3 linked regions of the Sus scrofa genome follow. The protein of the gene in region 3 interacts with the protein of the main gene of each other region in a pairwise test. Links are inferred from orthologs where the notes say so. Each region holds a gene or a part of one and is shown on either strand. Other genes may lie near its edges. The genes, in order: MYLIP, STK4 and RASSF5.

Region 1 (5,532 bases), on a different chromosome or scaffold from region 3:
CTTTTGGTAAATGTGGAATGTAGTGTTGTATACAGTTAGGACAGGCTCACATGGAAGGAAACCAGAATGGGAGTATAAACTAATGGCAGGCAGTATGCAGTTTTATGTGCATTTGTAGAGCTCACTCCCCGATGTTAGAGGCACTAACAAAGTCAGCTTACGTGCAGCTAAATGTGCTGGAAGTTAGAACGTGTCAGATATAATAGAAGAATAAATAGTTTGCATGTGATAGAGACAAAAGGGTATCTAAATTGAGGGGGCAGAAAGAGTGGCCTTCAGGACAGAGAAAATAGCAAGAACAGAGACGTGGGGGTGCGAACATGCTCGGTGTTTCCAGGAAGAGGAATTGTCCCTTTCCTGGGGTACATAGTGGCTGGAAGGAATGACAGGAGATGTGGCTGGAAATCTGGGGCCGGATGTGGAGAAGCCAAAGTTCATGTTGACACTGTGCTTTCCAGGCAAACAGTGGGGATTCTTTGAATGGCTCTGAGCAGAGAAATGATAGGTTTGTGCCTGAAGCAAGCAGCCGGGAAGATGGATTAGCACAGAGTCCAGAAGGGAGATCAGCTTAAAGGATATTGTAAATTCTGACAGTTGAGAGCTGCAAGTAGGACAAAGGATGTGAAAAAATGGGAAAAATGAACTGGATTTAAAGAGTTTTCAGAGACAGAAAGAAGGTAGAGAAGTAAGATGAAGAGTCAGAAGTGAGTCCGTGCGTGGTAAAAATGACGAGTCAGTCTCTGGTTTCCATTGGGAGAAAACGTAGGTTTGAGAAGGAAGACAGTTTGGTTTTGAACGAGGTGAAATTTGGGTACTGAAGAAGATCCAGTGGAGAAATCTGTAAGCACTTGGACATTTGAATATGATCCTTAGGAGAAAGTGAGCCTTAAAACTAGTGAGTTGAGGAGTTCCTGTCATGGCTCAGTGGTTAACGAATCCGACCAGGAACCATGGGGTTGCGGGTTCAATCCCTGACCTCATTCAGTGGGTTGAGGATCCTGCTTTGCTGTGGCTGAGGTGTAGGCCGGCAGCTACAGCTCTGATTCGACCCCTAGCCTGTGAACCTCCATGTGCCGCAGGTGTGGCCCTAAAAAAGACAAAAAACAAACAAACAAAACAAAACAAAAAAAAGCAACCTGGAGAGTTGAGGGTCATTTGAATAAAGGATCTTAAGAGATCAATTCCACATCAAGATAAAGTTTTTCTGATTAAGATAATTTCTTTGAAAAAGTATAATGAAGCAAACATCATGTATATAATTATTTTACATTTTGTAACTTGACTGTTAACTGAACTTGTCTTAGATTTGTGTTGTTCGGGTTAAATTTTTTATTCCAGAGAAACTTAATCCTTATACTTATTTTCTGCCTTAATACTCAGGATTTATTGAAAAACTCTTTAATGGTAAGCATTTTCAAGGTAGCTTTCTTCCTGGTTCTGCTTTCCTTACTCGAAAGGGATTAGGAAATGGCTAAGCAGGTTAAGTCTGACACCAGGTGAGTCCCCCAGCATAACCCCATTCTTGTGTTGCTTTGCAGGCATATCTTTTTCTTGCACATCAAGGAGGCCCTCCTGGCAGGCCACCTCCAGTGTTCCCCAGAGCAGGCAGTGGAACTCAGTGCTCTCTTGGCCCAGACCAAGTTTGGGGACTACAACCAGAACACGGCCAAGTACAGCTATGAGGAACTGTGTGCCAAGGAGCTCTCCAGTGCCACCTTGAACAGGTGAGGCTGCAGTTCAGGCTCGTGTTTATCATCATATATCTAGAAAACTTATAAGAATTTCCAGGAAAAAATAAAACTATGGTAGATGAAGATAGTTTGTGAGGTTGAGACTAGACCATTGCCCAGTATAACGAGCTGTTTTCAAAGTGTTCTTAGCCTTTTTGGGGGGGAGACTTAAAAACACAAATAAATGCCTTTATATGAAATGCTATATAAAAGGAATTCTAAAAATCTCTGACCTTTGAAGAATCTCTTAAAAAGTCTATCACGTAGGGAGTTCCCATCCTGGCTCAGTGCTAACGAACCAACTATTATCCATGAGGATGCGGGTTCAATCCCTGGCCTCACTCAGTGGGTTAAGGATCTGGCATTGCTGTGAGCTGCAGTGTAAGTCATAGACATGGCTCAGATTCCGAGTTGCTATGGCTGTGGTGTAGGCCAGCAGCTGCAGCTCCGATTCCATTTGACCCTGTAGCCTGGGAACTTCCATATGCCAGAGGTGTGGCCCTAACAAGCAAAAAAAAGTCTATCATGTGTGTTGGTATTTTCTTTATTGAACCAAGGTTTAAACCAAGAGACCTAACATAGGTGTCTTGCTTCTATTCTTGGGTAACAATTTACCCCCAAAACTTAATACCTCAAAACAACAAACATCATCCCACAGTTCTTTGTGTCAGGGATCTGACCACAGGCTGGGTTCTCTGGTTCCAGGTCTCTCAGGAGGCTGCAGTCAGTACCGGTGGGGTTCAGTCTCATCTGAAGGCTTAACTGAGAGAGGGATCTGCTTCCATTTCAGCTCAGGTAGCTTGTTAGTTGGCCTGTGCTCTCACCACAGGGGCCTCTCCAGGGTTCCGGTTGGCTTCCCCTAGGACAGGGAATCCAAGTCAGAGCAAATACCCAAGACAGAGTCAAAGACTCTATAACTTAATCTCATCCCATCACTTCTGCCCTGTTGTGCTCTTTAGAAGCAAGTCATTAATCCACCCCGCATTCAAGTGAAGGAAATTACACGAAGGTATGGACACAGGAGGTGGAGATCTTTAAGGACTATATTAGGGACTCTCCACTCCAATAGATACAGTGAATCCTGCATGTTTCAGTTGCAAATGATCTGATCAATCCCATAAAATGCTATAGAGTAATGAAACTTAGAAAGTAAATGTAAACAAATGCATGAGACCTTCCTACCTATAAATTTCTTATGTATATGTTTACAGATTTTCCATAATTCTTTCAAGTCACCCCCAGTAGTTTTTTTCTCCTAAATATTTAGTAGTTGAAATCTTGAACAGTGTCTTAGAAGTACTTTACAATAAGCTTGCTAAATAGATGGAACATCAAAAGTATATAGCTGTAAGTTTTTGTGATTCATAAATGACAGGGTGAGTATAATTCACTAAGTGAAAATGATGCAGATTTCTCTCCAGACTATATCAGTTAATCTGTCTGTACATCTCTCTGCCCTCTTGGTGTCTTGTAGCATCGTGGCAAAGCATAAAGAGTTGGAGGGGACCAGCCAGGCTTCGGCTGAATACCAAGTTTTGCAGATTGTATCAGCGATGGAAAACTATGGCATAGAATGGCATTCCGTGAGGGACAGCGAAGGGCAGAAACTCCTCATTGGGGTTGGACCTGAAGGAATCTCAATTTGTAAAGACGACTTTTGCCCCATTAACAGGTAACCCAAGACTGAAAAAAATTTTTTTTTGTGTGTGTGTTTTTGTCTTTTCTAGGGCTGCTCCTGTGGCATATGGAGGTTCCCAGGCTGGGGGTCTAATCGGAGCTGTAGCCACCAGCCTACACCACAGCCACAGCAACTCAGGATCAAAGCCACGTCTGCAACCTACACCACAACTCACGGCAACGCCAGATCCTTAACCCACTGAGCGAGGCTAGGGATCGAACCCACAACCTCATGGTTCCTAGTTGGATTCGTTAACCACTGAGCCGTGACAGGAACTCCAAGACTGAAATTTTGTTTCGACCTAAGTGTGTAGACTGTCGTAACTCTGATCATGCAAACAGGAAATGGAGAGGGATTTGCTAGACAGTCGTCCTTTAGGAATAACATGTTTCATTTTTGGTAGGTTCATTAATTTTATTGAGGCCTTGATAACCATTCAATTTTTTTTTTTTTAAATATAAGTTCAAGTGTAGGGATGTGGCAAAGCTACTATTTTTCAAATAAGTCATTTGTGGCTATAAATAGCTCATTTCACCTACACCCCCCCTCCAAAACTCGCTCCAGCAGCCTCTCCACTTCCCCCCTGCTGCTTGTCAGCAAGAATCAATGACTGGGAGCAGCGCTTCTATGATGGTCTCCGGCCCCGCATCAGATGGAACGGCGATCTGAAGCCGTGAGGGCCCTGCAGAGGGGCGCATGAAGCGTGGTCCCCTGGCCCCACCCCTGGCTCGCTCACTTTCCTCTTCCCGCCTTTCAGGATCGCTTACCCTGTGGTGCAGATGGCGACTCAGTCGGGAAAGAATGTGTACCTGACCGTCACCAAGGAGTCTGGGAACAGCATCGTGCTCTTGTTTAAGATGATCAGCACCAGGGCAGCCAGCGGGCTGTACCGAGCCATCACCGAGACGCACGCTTTTTACAGGCACGTACCCCTGTTCACCCTGTAGCCCCAGTGTCTGCCCATAGCACTCGGGTTTCCAGGTGAGGGCGAGGCACCTTCAGTTCCTGGTACCGTTGTGTCCATGAACCTTGTACAGAATTTAAGAAGTCAGCTCTTTTTGGACCCTTCGTTTCTGCCCTAGCAGTTGGGTCTTTCTCATAATCACCCTGCTTCTCAGGACATGTATGCGCGCGTGCGTGCGTGCCTGCGTGCGTGTGTGTGTGTGTACACTTGCCTGCACAGACACATTTCACTCTTAGCTCATTCCTCACAGCTCCCCCTCCCCAAGGGAACTTGAGTGTATGGGCCTGTTGAGCTTCAGCTTTGCCCTCTCCCCACAGGATATCCCCAAGTCACCTTTCCTTCCTGAGAGAGCTTGCTGGGCCAGCAGACGCTCGCCCTCTAAGTGGATTGGAAGGGTCTCTCTGTAACTATATTGATACCCTCATTTCTGAGGGTGCTTTAAAGTAGAGTTGTGATTTGACTCAAATGTTAGCACAATTAAAAGCTAAGATATTTAATTGGCAGGCAACCCAAGCCCTTTATTTATGTTAAAAGAGACACAGTGTGGAGCAGGATGGAAAATGTGTAGAAAAATTTTAACACAAATCCAGGACTTCAAAGAAAAATGTCCTTGTTCTTGCCATAAGCTGCTTTGCACTGTAGCTCCTATCCCTGGAGATGGAGATGCTCTCTGGGTTTACAGCTCCCTGATCAGAGGTCCTTGTACTGGGGACTCTGGAGGAGCATAGAGGTGGGATTATTCCGATACTTAAGACGTAAAACTGGAAGAATTTACTTGCAAGCACCCAAACAGGCATATTAAACGCTGACACAAATGTTCTCGTTCTCAGCAGCATTTAAGGCCTGGATCGCAGGGCTGCCCAGGCCTGTCAGTACTGAGGTGGGTGTTCCATCTCTGTCCGCAGGTGCGACACAGTGACCAGTGCCGTCATGATGCAGTACAGCCGAGACCTGAAGGGCCACCTGGCTTCTCTGTTTCTGAACGAAAACATTAACCTGGGCAAGAAGTATGTCTTCGATATTAAAAGAACCTCAAAGGAGGTATATGACCACGCCAGGAGGGCTCTGTACAACGCAGGCGTGATGGACCTCTTACCAAGAAGCGACCACAGCCCCCCGAGTTCTCCCCTAAAGTCCTCCGAGAGCAGCATGAACTGCAG
Region 2 (5,532 bases), on a different chromosome or scaffold from region 3:
TTTCAAAAAAGAAAAGAAAAAAAAAAAAAAAAAGATGATGGAACGATCACAGAGACTTAATATTTTAAACCTGTGCAAAATTCAGGCTAAACGGTACACTGAGAACTCAATTCAATTAGTATGACCACTGGGTACTCCCAGTTCCTTTCCTCTGTGACTCGGTCTGTCACGCACAGAGTAAAGGGAAAGGAAACCGACGGGAGAGGAGAGGACGGCCCCCCACGAGGAACTGAGCACAGGCGTCAGGCCTCGGTCACAGGCCAAATAAAAAGGATCGGAAGAGGAAGAACAGCAGCAGAGATGGGTTTAAATTAGAAGAGCCTGGAAGGGACTCTTCAGTTGTCACATTCACCCTTAAGAGACTGACTGAGAATTGCTCAACCTGGGTCAGACAAACAGTTTGACGAAAACAGACTGAAAAGAGTATGTTTGATAAGTCATTCAGAATTTCCTAACACTTTGAATTACGCATCAAAACCTACATGCTCGCCTCCACAGATCACGGAAAAGAAAGAAAAAAATGCTAAGAGAATGGTCATGCAGGTCGGAAAGTCGATCCCTTCCTGTCGCCTGCCGACCTCTGACTCCACGTGCCAGCTTCCTCCCTCCCAGACCCTCCGCTGCGCCCCAACCTTCCAATGCTCTCTCACTCCTTTGGTTGTGGCAACAGAAAGGAGCTTCAGGACTGAGTCCGTGTGGACCACAGAACCTGCTTTCCCTGGATCGTGCGCGGCCTGCCTGCCAAGTTGGTCTAGTTAGTCAGAGCCTTACTTTTCATAGTGCCTTCCTCTTCCTCCTCCTCCGCATTGATCACCATGGTGCCCAGCTGGGACGGCAACGTGTCGTCGTGCTCGATCATGGTATTGGCTCCGTCACTCATGGTGCTGGCCACGCGGACGGTGCCCATCTCGTCCCCGGCGGCTCGGACCATCGTGCCAGAATCCATTTCATCCTCCTCCTGGAAGAGGATGAAATCTCAGATGAGGGCTAATTTGATCAAAATCTTACAGGGTTTCTGAATTACTCTTATTCATCCTGGTGCAAATATTTCTGATGTGACACTTAGATTCTAAACCCACCACGAAGAACCGAGAGCACTCTTTTTTTTTTTTTTCACACTGAACTATGGTTGATGTACGACACTCTATGTGTTACAAGTGTACAATACATGGATTCACAATTTTCACGAGTTAGACTCCATTGAGAGTACTCTTAACCAAAGAAGATCATAATTTATCCACATGAGAGCTGCACATCCAACCCTAAAGGGCCCTCTCCCTCTCCCCTTCCCTCTCCTTCTTAGTAACATGTTGTAACATTGACCCAAGGAGCTGAGTGCATACTCTTGGGATCTCAAGGGTGTGGGGGAGTCTCTAAGTGTAAAAATCTACCTATTCAGTATGGCTCCCAGATTCTCCAAATGGGTAAGGAAAACTCAGACTCAGCCCTGAGCATTCTCTCTCCTGAATAAAAAGTTAAACTGAAGAAAAGATATGAAGGCAAAAGAATAAAATGTGGAAGTGCCTCAGGAAGCGCTGTGAGAAGAACAAGCACAGATCCAGCAAGCCTCCAGCAAGCCCTGGTCCCGGACTGGACAGAGTCACTTGAAAAGAGTCTCCAGCTCCAGGTGGATCCTACATCCCCAACTCATCTCGCCTGGCCGGTAGTCATGAAATAACAAGCATGAATGCCCGAGGCCCACCACACTGCCTGCCACTCACTGAGTTTTCTTCATCGTCCTGGTCCACCTCCCGCTGCTGGGCTTCCTGGCGTTTCAGCTTCACGTCCATGGCTTCGTTAATTAAGTCCCGCAGTATGGACACTCCTTTGGCACTCTTGACAAATGGGTGCTTCAATAAGAAAGTGGAAGATGGTTTATATGGTAGAGTGCCAAACACTGCCTGGCACACAGCAGGTACTTGATGATTTCTGTTCAATCGGCCAGTGAATCTGTTTCTCTTTATGGTTTGGACATCAGCTAACTCATACTCGCTTTATAACTGAACAGATGCATTCATGCTTTACCCATCTTTTTTGGCTTGGCTAGAATGTTTCCTCCATTTCTCTGTGCAAACTCTAGGGATTCTCAGCAGGCTACTATCGCCCCCTAGAGGAAGTTCTGTAAACATGCTGGGAGCTTGTTTGGAGAACACAAACTACATGGAAGTGGGACAGGGGGCAGGGACACAAGCGATCCTGTGAAGTGTGGAACAATCTTATACAGCATTGAACTGTAACACATTCTGTACATCTTTCAAATGTGTCAGAGAACATATATACACTTTGATAAATAATACTGAAAAATTTTGGGGTGGTTTTGGAGGGGGGGCTTCAATGGAATAGAGACATTGTTTAGAAATCGCTGAATAGTTTACTCATCCTGTTTATTCTTTCTAGTCAATGTACTATAGAATTTCCAACTACGGATTTAGGTAAAAAGGATTTTAGTGCCGAAATGCAGTTCCTACAGAAATACTAAAACTGGTAACAAATATGTAACAGATGTAGGTCCAATATTATTCAATCTGCAAAGATGCTTGTGAATACTGCTGACTTTCATTTATAGAAATGGCTTAAAGTTTTTAATATTAATACCATCTTACGTTTGTATTACTGCCTTTTGTGACACAAATGATAAGAAATCTATGCTATGAAAGTTATGTCTGGAAATTTGGGGGGGGGGTTGCCTGCTGTTTTCCACACTTATTCTGACATTTGTCCCCAGTGTTCCTCTTTGCAATCACCACCCACCAGAGAATATGATTTCCAAGGTCTTTGCAAGTACTCTAGATATGTACAATAGCCTCACCATGTGGTGGGATAGAAATACAGGAGATATCTTTTCCATAAAACTGCATTAGCACCCCAGCCAGGTAGGAAAAGAATTCATCACTACTCTCAGAAATAAGACGCAGCTCATTTGCAAGAATATCAAATTTCCTTGTTCTCTCTACTGAGAAAGTCTTTAAGATCATTTCTCTACCTTATATATAAATGAGTCTGCTCTGCTATTACTTGACATTACAATTATGTTAGTGTCCCCTCCACTCATTTTCCTGGGTTTCTTGAAGGAAATGCTTTCTGTTCTCTCTGCTCTTCAATCTAAACTCATTTGTGATGCTAGGTACAGGTGTCTAATTACTTTATTATGTCTATAAGTTGAAAAGCTGGAGCATTTCTATATGGACACATATTTTATTATAAATTATTATCCTTATATTTCTCCATCACATCACAGGCATTACACTGATTCTTTTTAAATTATGGGTATAAGTAGATTTTATCATCTATGAGTTTCATGCCGGAAAGGTAAGGAATGTTTAAATAAAATGTATTGGTTGTAAAAAGGGGGCACTGGGTCTGATGTGACTGAAAACCATTATTGGGCATGGCCTGACACAACAGCAGATATTCATCAAATCCGTAATATACTGTATCTCCGATATGTGTAAAGAACTATTCGAAGTTACACATATGATATCACTTAATCCTAACATATGGAACAGGTACTTTACCTCTACTGTATAGACAGAGAGGTGCGGTTCCTCACTCAACGTCATAAAGCCAGTACGTAGAGAGCCAGGACTCCAACTTGGGCAACTGGGCTCCAGAATCCAAGCTCCTAACCACGAAGGATGCTGCCCGCCAAATCCCACCCATTCTTCAAAGCCCAAGCACAGAGGTCACCTCCTCCAGGAAAGCATTCCTCCGTATTTCCAGTCCAAAGTGGCCTCTTCCCACCCTGAGTTACAGCAGCACCTACCATTAATCCCAGTTCTTTGTCAGAATTGGGGACACTGAATCACTCCTGCTTTGGAATCAAAGAGACTACTTAGGTCCCATCCTGGCTCTGCTGTCTACCAGCTGAGTGGCTCTAAATGATTAACCTCTCCAAACCTCCATTTTCTCACCTATAAAAATAAATAATACCTATCTCTCACAGCGTGTATGTGATGATTAAATGGCATAATGTGGGAGTTCCCTGGTGGTCTAGTGATTAGGATTCAGTGCTTTCATCTCTGAGTGCTTTCATCTTCAGTAGCTCCATCCCTGGTCTGGGAACTGAGATCCTATGTCAAGCCACTGCAGCCATGGCCAAAAATTAATGAATTAATTAAAAATTAATCAATGGCATAACATGCAAAGTATGCACACAGTAGGTGCTCAATAAATGTCAATTAAAATTAATGGCACAACGTGCAAAATAGCACACAGTAGGTGCTCAATAAATGTCAATTCCTGCTTTCTAATTCCCACAGAGCACTGTATTTTCTTGCATTATTGTCTTGTTCAATGATCTCCCATTCTTTTCTATATCTTTTCTAAGCATTCACATTTAAACCTGCCTAGAGGCAGGGAATATCTTATACCATCTCCATGTAGGTGGGTTAACAGCATCTTTTGGTCAGCCTGTGAGTGAAACCGCTGCACCCCAGGCTGATTCCTACCTGGAGGAGTTGAGTGGCCGTGGCTCTCTGCTCAGGGCTCTTTACAAGACACTGCTTCACAAAATCCATGAAGCTATCTGACCACAGTTCTGGCTTTCGGAATGTGGGAGGTGGGTTGGTAGGAATCATGAAGATTGCCTAAAGAAAAAAAAAAAAAAAAAAAAAAAAAAAAAAGATTTGGCAAAGTGAAAGTGATGCTCCAATAAAAATATGACTAGAAATACATTGGAAGTTTGATGAAATGGTTTTTCTCTTCCCCACTATAAGCCCCCAAATTGCAATGAAAGTCTGAGTATCTCAAAGAAGGAAGTTATGACAATTAGAGAAGCTGATAGAGCTCTCCTTCCCCCTCTTCCTCCCTCTGATTTCCCTCTCTCTCTCTCCCTCTTTCATCTGTACTCTCGTCCCATAAACCTCACGATATCCAGCAAGCTTTTTGGGGGTTTTGCTGACCAAAGTACACTGCCACTCAAAGTGAAAAGGCAAGACCAAACATCAACATCTTGAAGAGAACCCCAGCCCTGTAGCTGTCAAGTTTCCCTCTTCCCTAAAAGTTACCACCACCCCTGGATATAATAAGTGACTGCAGAGTTCCCGTTGTGGCACAGCAGAAACAAATCCAGCTAGGAACCATGAGGTTGCAGGTTCGATCCCTGGCCTCCCTCAGTGGGTTAAGGATCCGAGGTTGCCGTGAGCTGTGGTCTAGGTCGAAGACACGGCTCGGGATTCCGCATTGCTGTGGCTGTGACATAGGCCAGAAGCTACAGCTCCGATTTAACCCCTAGCCTGGGAACCTCCAGAAGCCGTGTGTGCGGCCCTAAAAAGCAGAGAAAAAAAAAAGTGACTGAAAGGAGGTCATAAACCTAGAAGTCCCCCAAATCACAAGAGAGTCATCAGCCTCCAAGCCACATTAATTCTACATACTTGAAAAAAAATTGGCCTACTACATGGCAATTAAATTCTACTATTTCCAAAAAAAATAAAACTATAGGAAATACTGTAGGTTCAGTTCCAGACTGCTGCAATAGAGCAAATCACATGATTTTTTCGGTTTCCCAGTGCATATAACAGTTATGCTTCCCCT
Region 3 (5,532 bases):
TATATATCTATATATCTATATATACACACACACACATATAAAACAATGCTCTCCTGTCTTCCTCCCAAATCCTTGACATCAAAAATCAAACACATCCTGGTTCAGGTGCCTTGGCAAAGCCCAGACCAAGAGCTGTTTTGGGCATCAACTTCCTGGTCCTTTGACGCAGAGAAAGGACATCTGTCCAGGCCCTCTGACGTTGATCTGGTCTGGCTGGCAGGACAATGTGCCCAGAAGCCTCAGCCCCAGCATCCCCACTGCCCCAGGGCTCGGAGGCCTCTGAGGATCCCCAGGAGCTTTCTCTGGGATTGACCATACCCACACCTATGGCTGGAGCCTTAGGCCAAAACAGGTTCTGTGCTTGGAGTGGGCCACAGGGAGGGCACTTCTGAATAATGACAGGCTTCCCTGTGTCACCGATGCTATTCCGCTTCCCCAGCCTCTTGGAAAGGATGTGTGACACTGTGATTTTTTTTTTTTTTGCCTTTTTTTTTTAGGGACACACTTTCGGCATATGGAGGTTCCCAGGCTAGGGGTCGATTCGGAGCTGTAGCTACTGGCCTACAGCCACAGCAATGCCAGATCTGAGCCTCGTCTGTGACCTACACCACAGCTCAAGGCAGCATCAGATCCTTAACCCACTGAGCGAGGCCAGGGACTGAACCTGCATCCTCGTGGATCCTAGTCGGATTTGTTTTTGCTGTGCCACAACGAGAACTCTGATACTGTGATTAATAATCAGAGATATACACATTTGATCTCTGTCTCCATTTTTGGCACAATGGAACTTCTTAAATGATGAGAGCACCAAAGGTATTTCTTGTGATGTTAATGAGGTGACTTTTTTTTTTTTTTTTTTTTTTGGTCTTTTTGCCATTTCTTGGGCTGTTCCCGAGGCATATGGAGGTTCCCAGGCTAGGGGTTGAATCGGAGCTGTAGCTGCCGGCCTACGCCAGAGCCACAGCAACACAGGATCCGAGCCGCGTCTGCAACCTACACCACAGCTCATGGCAACGCCAGATCCTTAACCCACTGAGCAAGGCCAGGGATCGAACCTGCAACCTCATGGTTCCTAGTTGGATTCGTTAACCACTGAGCCATGACAGGAATTCCGAGGTGACTTCTTTAAAATTAAAATTGTCGGTTTTATTTTTAAATTTTTTTTGTCTTTTGTCTTTTTAGGGCCGCACCTATGGCATGTGGAGGTTCCCAGCTAGAGGTTGAATTGGAGCTGTAGCTACTGTAGCTACACCACAGCCACAGCAATGTGGGATCCGAGCCACATCTGTAACCCACACCGTAACTCATGGCAACACCAGATCCTTAGCCCACTGAGCAAGGGAAGGGATTGAGCCCACGTCCTCATGGATACTATTCTGGTTCGTTAACCATTAAGTCAAGATGGGAATTCCATGAGGTGACTTTTGGATCCCACCTAAGGATGCAGGCTAGTTGCCAGGAGAACCAACCAAGTATGAGAGGATTAGAACTTTCAGATGGACGCCCCTGACCTCTGGGGAACAGAGAGAGGCCGGAGGGTGGATCAATCGCCAATGGCCAACAATTTGATCAATCATGTCTGTATAATGAAGCCTCTGTAAGGTCCTGGAAGTTTGGGGCTCAGAGAGCTTCTGGGTTGGGAAACATGGGGAGGAGCAGGGAGGGCACCTCTGGAGAGGACATGAAAGTTTGTGCACCTCCCCCACCTGGCCCTCTGCATCTCTTCCATCTGGTTGCTCCTGAGTTATATCCTTTTATAATAAACTGGCGATCTAGTAAGTTTCAAATGTTTCTTTGAGTTCTGTGAGCTGCTCTAACAAATGCATTGAGCCCAAAGACAGAGCTGTGGCAACCTCCCACCTACAGCCTGTTGGTCCGAAGCATGGGTGACAACATACTCTTACAACTGGTATCTGAGGTGGTGGGTGGGGGGTGCAGAGTACAGCACTGAGCTGAACTACAGGGCACCCACTGGGTGTCAGAGGGTGGTGGTGTGGGGAAACCCCCCACATTGGAACTGGGCGCAGACTCGAAGAGTGTGCTATGGACCCCAACTGGCCAGAAGGGGACCCCCAACATCCAGCGTACATGGAACACTCTCGCCACCCATGCTCCCCAGAGCCCCTGGGAGGGACAGGGGAACCTGGGGGCACCTCAGGAGGCTGTCGCCAACCTGGAGCTCGAGCCCTCCCGCCTACCTGGCTGAAGGTTGCAGTGAGGGTGCTTTCTGGAGAGGGTCTGTCCTGGGAGGAGCCTTCCTGCTGACTGCAGTCCAGCTGGATCAGGCTGCGGCACTCAGGGTGGCAGGTGAATTTGCAGTCTGGAGGGAGAGAACCGCAGAGGGATTAGGGGCCAGACAGGAGGCCCAGAAAAAGGCCCTGGGAGGCGGCATGTAGCTCCTGGAGGGCGGTGGAGGGGGAAGAACACCATGAGAATGACTCGCTCTCTCTGAACTACCATGAGTAGGGAAGGTGAATAGGTGCTTTACAGTTTGCAATCTAGTTTTTGTTTAGAATTTGCAATCTCCTTTTTGTTTTTGTCTTCCTCTTCTTTTTAGGGCTGTACCCATAGCACATGGAGGTTCCCAGGCCAGGGGTCAAATCAGAGCTGCAGCTGTGGACCTTCATCACAGCCTCATCCACAGCCACTCCAGATCCAAGTCACATCTGCCATCTCCACCACAGCTCATGGCAACGCCGGATCCTTAACCCACTGAGCAAGGCCAGGATTGAACCTACATCCTCATGGATACGAGTTGGGTTCATGACCTCTGAGCCACAATGGGAGCTCCCAGTATGTAAACTGTTTCCACCTCCATTATTGTGTGTGACCCTGCAACCATGATTACCGCCACTTTGCCGACAGGAAACTGGGGCCTAGGGTGACTTTCTCAAGGGCAGATCATCTGGCTTCAGGCTGGTGCTCTTTCTACTAATTGATGTTAATCATCAGAGGCCCCAATCCCTGTGGAAGAACTTAACTTTTCCTGGCCTTGTTTTGCAGGCTGTAAAACAGGTAATAATGGCCCTGCCTGGTGCACAAGGATGATTACAGTTATAGAGGAGAACGGGTCTTAACAAATTAAAGGTGGGAGTTCCTGTGTTGTGGCGCAGCAGAAATGAACCCGACTAGGAACCATGAGGTTGCAGGTTCGATCCCTGGCTTTTCTCAGTGGGTTAAAGATCCAGCGTGCCATGAGCTGTGGTGTAGGTCGAAGACGCGGCTCAGATCCTGCATTGCTGTGGCTGTGGCATAAGCTGGCAGCTATAGCTCCGATTAGACCCCTAGCCTGGGAACCTCCATATGCCACAGGTAAGGCTCTAAAAAGACAAAAAACAAAACAAAACAAAATACCCAAAAAACAAAAAGAACCCCAACAAATTAAAGGTTTCTCCAGGGACAAAGGCATGATCACCAACAGGAAGGGCTGTCACGTCTCTCTGACACAGTGCCATCTAGAAATGCGAGGTGGCTCCTCTAACTTGGCTGACATGGCCTGCAGACAACATTCCAAATGAGGCTTTGGAGGAAAGCACACATTTGTTTCACATCCATGGAAGTAAGACAATGACCAGTGTTCAGCAGACCATGGGGGGTTACCTCAGAGATGGGGAAACTGAGGCCCAGAGAGGTAAAGCACGGTGCCCAATGACACACGGCTCAGTGGCACAGCCAAGGTTGCAAGCAGTTTCCAGCTTCCCCAAGGGCCCTCTCTGAAGCCTCCTTGGCAGAAGGGAGGTGAAGTTGAAGGGGACAGGAGGCCGGGAGGTTGGGGCAGGTGAAGGCAGGGAGGATGGGAGAGAAAAAAAGGTTGGCAGTGAAAGAAATCCGTCCAAGCCCATCAGCAGGCACAAGGCTCAGGCTGGAGGTTGGTTCCCACAGAAGCTGCTGGGCCCATCAGGGTCACCAGCCCTGGAGGTGCCACAGCTCAGCCAGAAGGCCCTGCTGAGGGAGGCTGCCAGAGTCTTAATGAGAAGGTTGCTGGACCGTGTCACCCGGTACATAGGGGTGGGCTGGGGTGGGCAGGGCTTGTGGCAGGAGACAGCCTGGACATGTCTGGATAATCTGGGGACGAAGGGACAGCTTTATGTTGGGCTCAGTCTCCTGACACTCTTTTCCTTCCTTTTTTTTTTTTTTTTTTTTTGTCTTTTTGCCATTTCTTGGGCCATTCCTGCGGCATATGGAGGTTCCCAGGCTAGGAGTCCAATCGGAGCTGTAGCTGCCAGCCTACACCAACAGCCACAGCAATGCCAGATCCTTAACCCACTGAGCAAGGCCAGGGATCGAACCTGCAACCTCATGGTTCCTAGTCGGATTCGTTAACCACTGAGCCATGAAGGGAACTCCCCCCTCCCCTTTTTTTTTTTGGGCCACACCTGCCGCATGTAGAAGTTCCAGGGGTCAAACTGTTAGGCCACCAAGGAGCTCCCTCTTTTCCTTCCTTTTAACAAGCTCCAGAACCACAGCACCTGGGGACCCTCTTTTTGTTGTTGTTTTTGTTTTTTAGGGCCGCTCCCGCGGCATATGGAGGTTCCCAGGCTAGGGGTCCAATCGGAGCTACAGCTGCTGGCCTACACCACAGCCACAGCAACAAGGGATTCAAGCGCTGTCTGCGACCTGCACCACAGCTCACAGCAACGCCAGATCCTTAACCCACTGAGCGAGGCCAGGGATCGAACCCACATCCTCATGGATACTAGTTGGATTTGTTTTTGCTACACCACAACAGGAACTCCCTGGATCATCTTTTTAAAGCTGCTGTAGCACAGTCTTTCTTAGGGTGGCAGTGGGTGGGTCTCCCCACTCTTTTGGAGCGTTTTGGAAGGAGAACCCCACTTTCCCCAGCTGCCCCCTTTCTTACCTCCCCAAGGATGAGCACCCGGCTCACATTTCTTGATCTTAATACTTTCAGGGGAGCGCCTGGCCAATGCAGGGACAGGAAGGGATCCCAGAACCCAGCAACCCTCTGACTCAATGGTCTGAAGTCCTGACCACCTTCCTAGGGTGGCATTTAGAAGCCCTACCGCTCACCTCCCCTGTGCCTGCAGGTCAAGTCCACTGACATCCCCTCCTTCAGACCCCAACCTTGCCTAGACTTCCTGATTCTTCTCCCGAGAAGCTGTGCTCCCACTGGAGATGGGGTGGGTGGAGGACCGCACCCCTGCCAGCAGCCACTCGCATTCCTGGGCCCCCAGCAGGAGACCCAGGCACCGGGTGAAGGGCACGGGGGGTTGTGCAGGCCAAGTCTCCCTGCCCACAGTGCCCAGAAATGCCAGGGCTTTGATAAGGGAGCGCCAAGGCCAGAACCCACACAGGGCAGCATTGTTCCCGGCTCCACTCCGGGACACACCTGTGCAGCTCCTGGCCACGCTCTGAGCGATGAAGAATGCTCTGCGGATGCCAAGTGGGAAGCAGGAGTGAGAGCTGCCACCAGCTGCCAAAGGGGAGAGTGTCTGGGGAGAGGAGAAAGTTCTCCTGTCTCCTCTTTCAATTCCATGTCAGCAGGCGGTCTGTGTCCATCTGTGCAACTGA

What was found.
Region 1: the proteins of RASSF5 (region 3) and MYLIP interact in binary tests that used the Homo sapiens proteins (3 or more experiments, as listed by UniProt). The two-hybrid records come from large-scale screens. The link is inferred for Sus scrofa from reciprocal best matches to the Homo sapiens genes RASSF5 and MYLIP.
Region 2: the proteins of RASSF5 (region 3) and STK4 interact in binary tests that used the Homo sapiens proteins (3 or more experiments, as listed by UniProt). The link is inferred for Sus scrofa from reciprocal best matches to the Homo sapiens genes RASSF5 and STK4.

Annotation. Positions count from the first base shown.
Region 1 is NC_010449.5:12,129,305-12,134,836, forward strand, and holds part of MYLIP (E3 ubiquitin-protein ligase MYLIP), read left to right. Parts: intron 1-1,538; coding exon 1,539-1,724; intron 1,725-3,204; coding exon 3,205-3,402; intron 3,403-4,165; coding exon 4,166-4,330; intron 4,331-5,277; coding exon 5,278-5,532. UniProt on the Homo sapiens protein: E3 ubiquitin-protein ligase that mediates ubiquitination and subsequent proteasomal degradation of myosin regulatory light chain (MRLC), LDLR, VLDLR and LRP8. Activity depends on E2 enzymes of the UBE2D family.
Region 2 is NC_010459.5:47,410,949-47,416,480, reverse strand, and holds part of STK4 (serine/threonine-protein kinase 4), read right to left. Parts: intron 4,587-5,532; coding exon 4,449-4,586; intron 1,851-4,448; coding exon 1,722-1,850; intron 959-1,721; coding exon 772-958; intron 1-771. UniProt on the Homo sapiens protein: Stress-activated, pro-apoptotic kinase which, following caspase-cleavage, enters the nucleus and induces chromatin condensation followed by internucleosomal DNA fragmentation.
Region 3 is NC_010451.4:67,180,552-67,186,083, reverse strand, and holds part of RASSF5 (ras association domain-containing protein 5), read right to left. Parts: intron 2,321-5,532; coding exon 2,199-2,320; intron 1-2,198. UniProt on the Homo sapiens protein: Potential tumor suppressor. Seems to be involved in lymphocyte adhesion by linking RAP1A activation upon T-cell receptor or chemokine stimulation to integrin activation.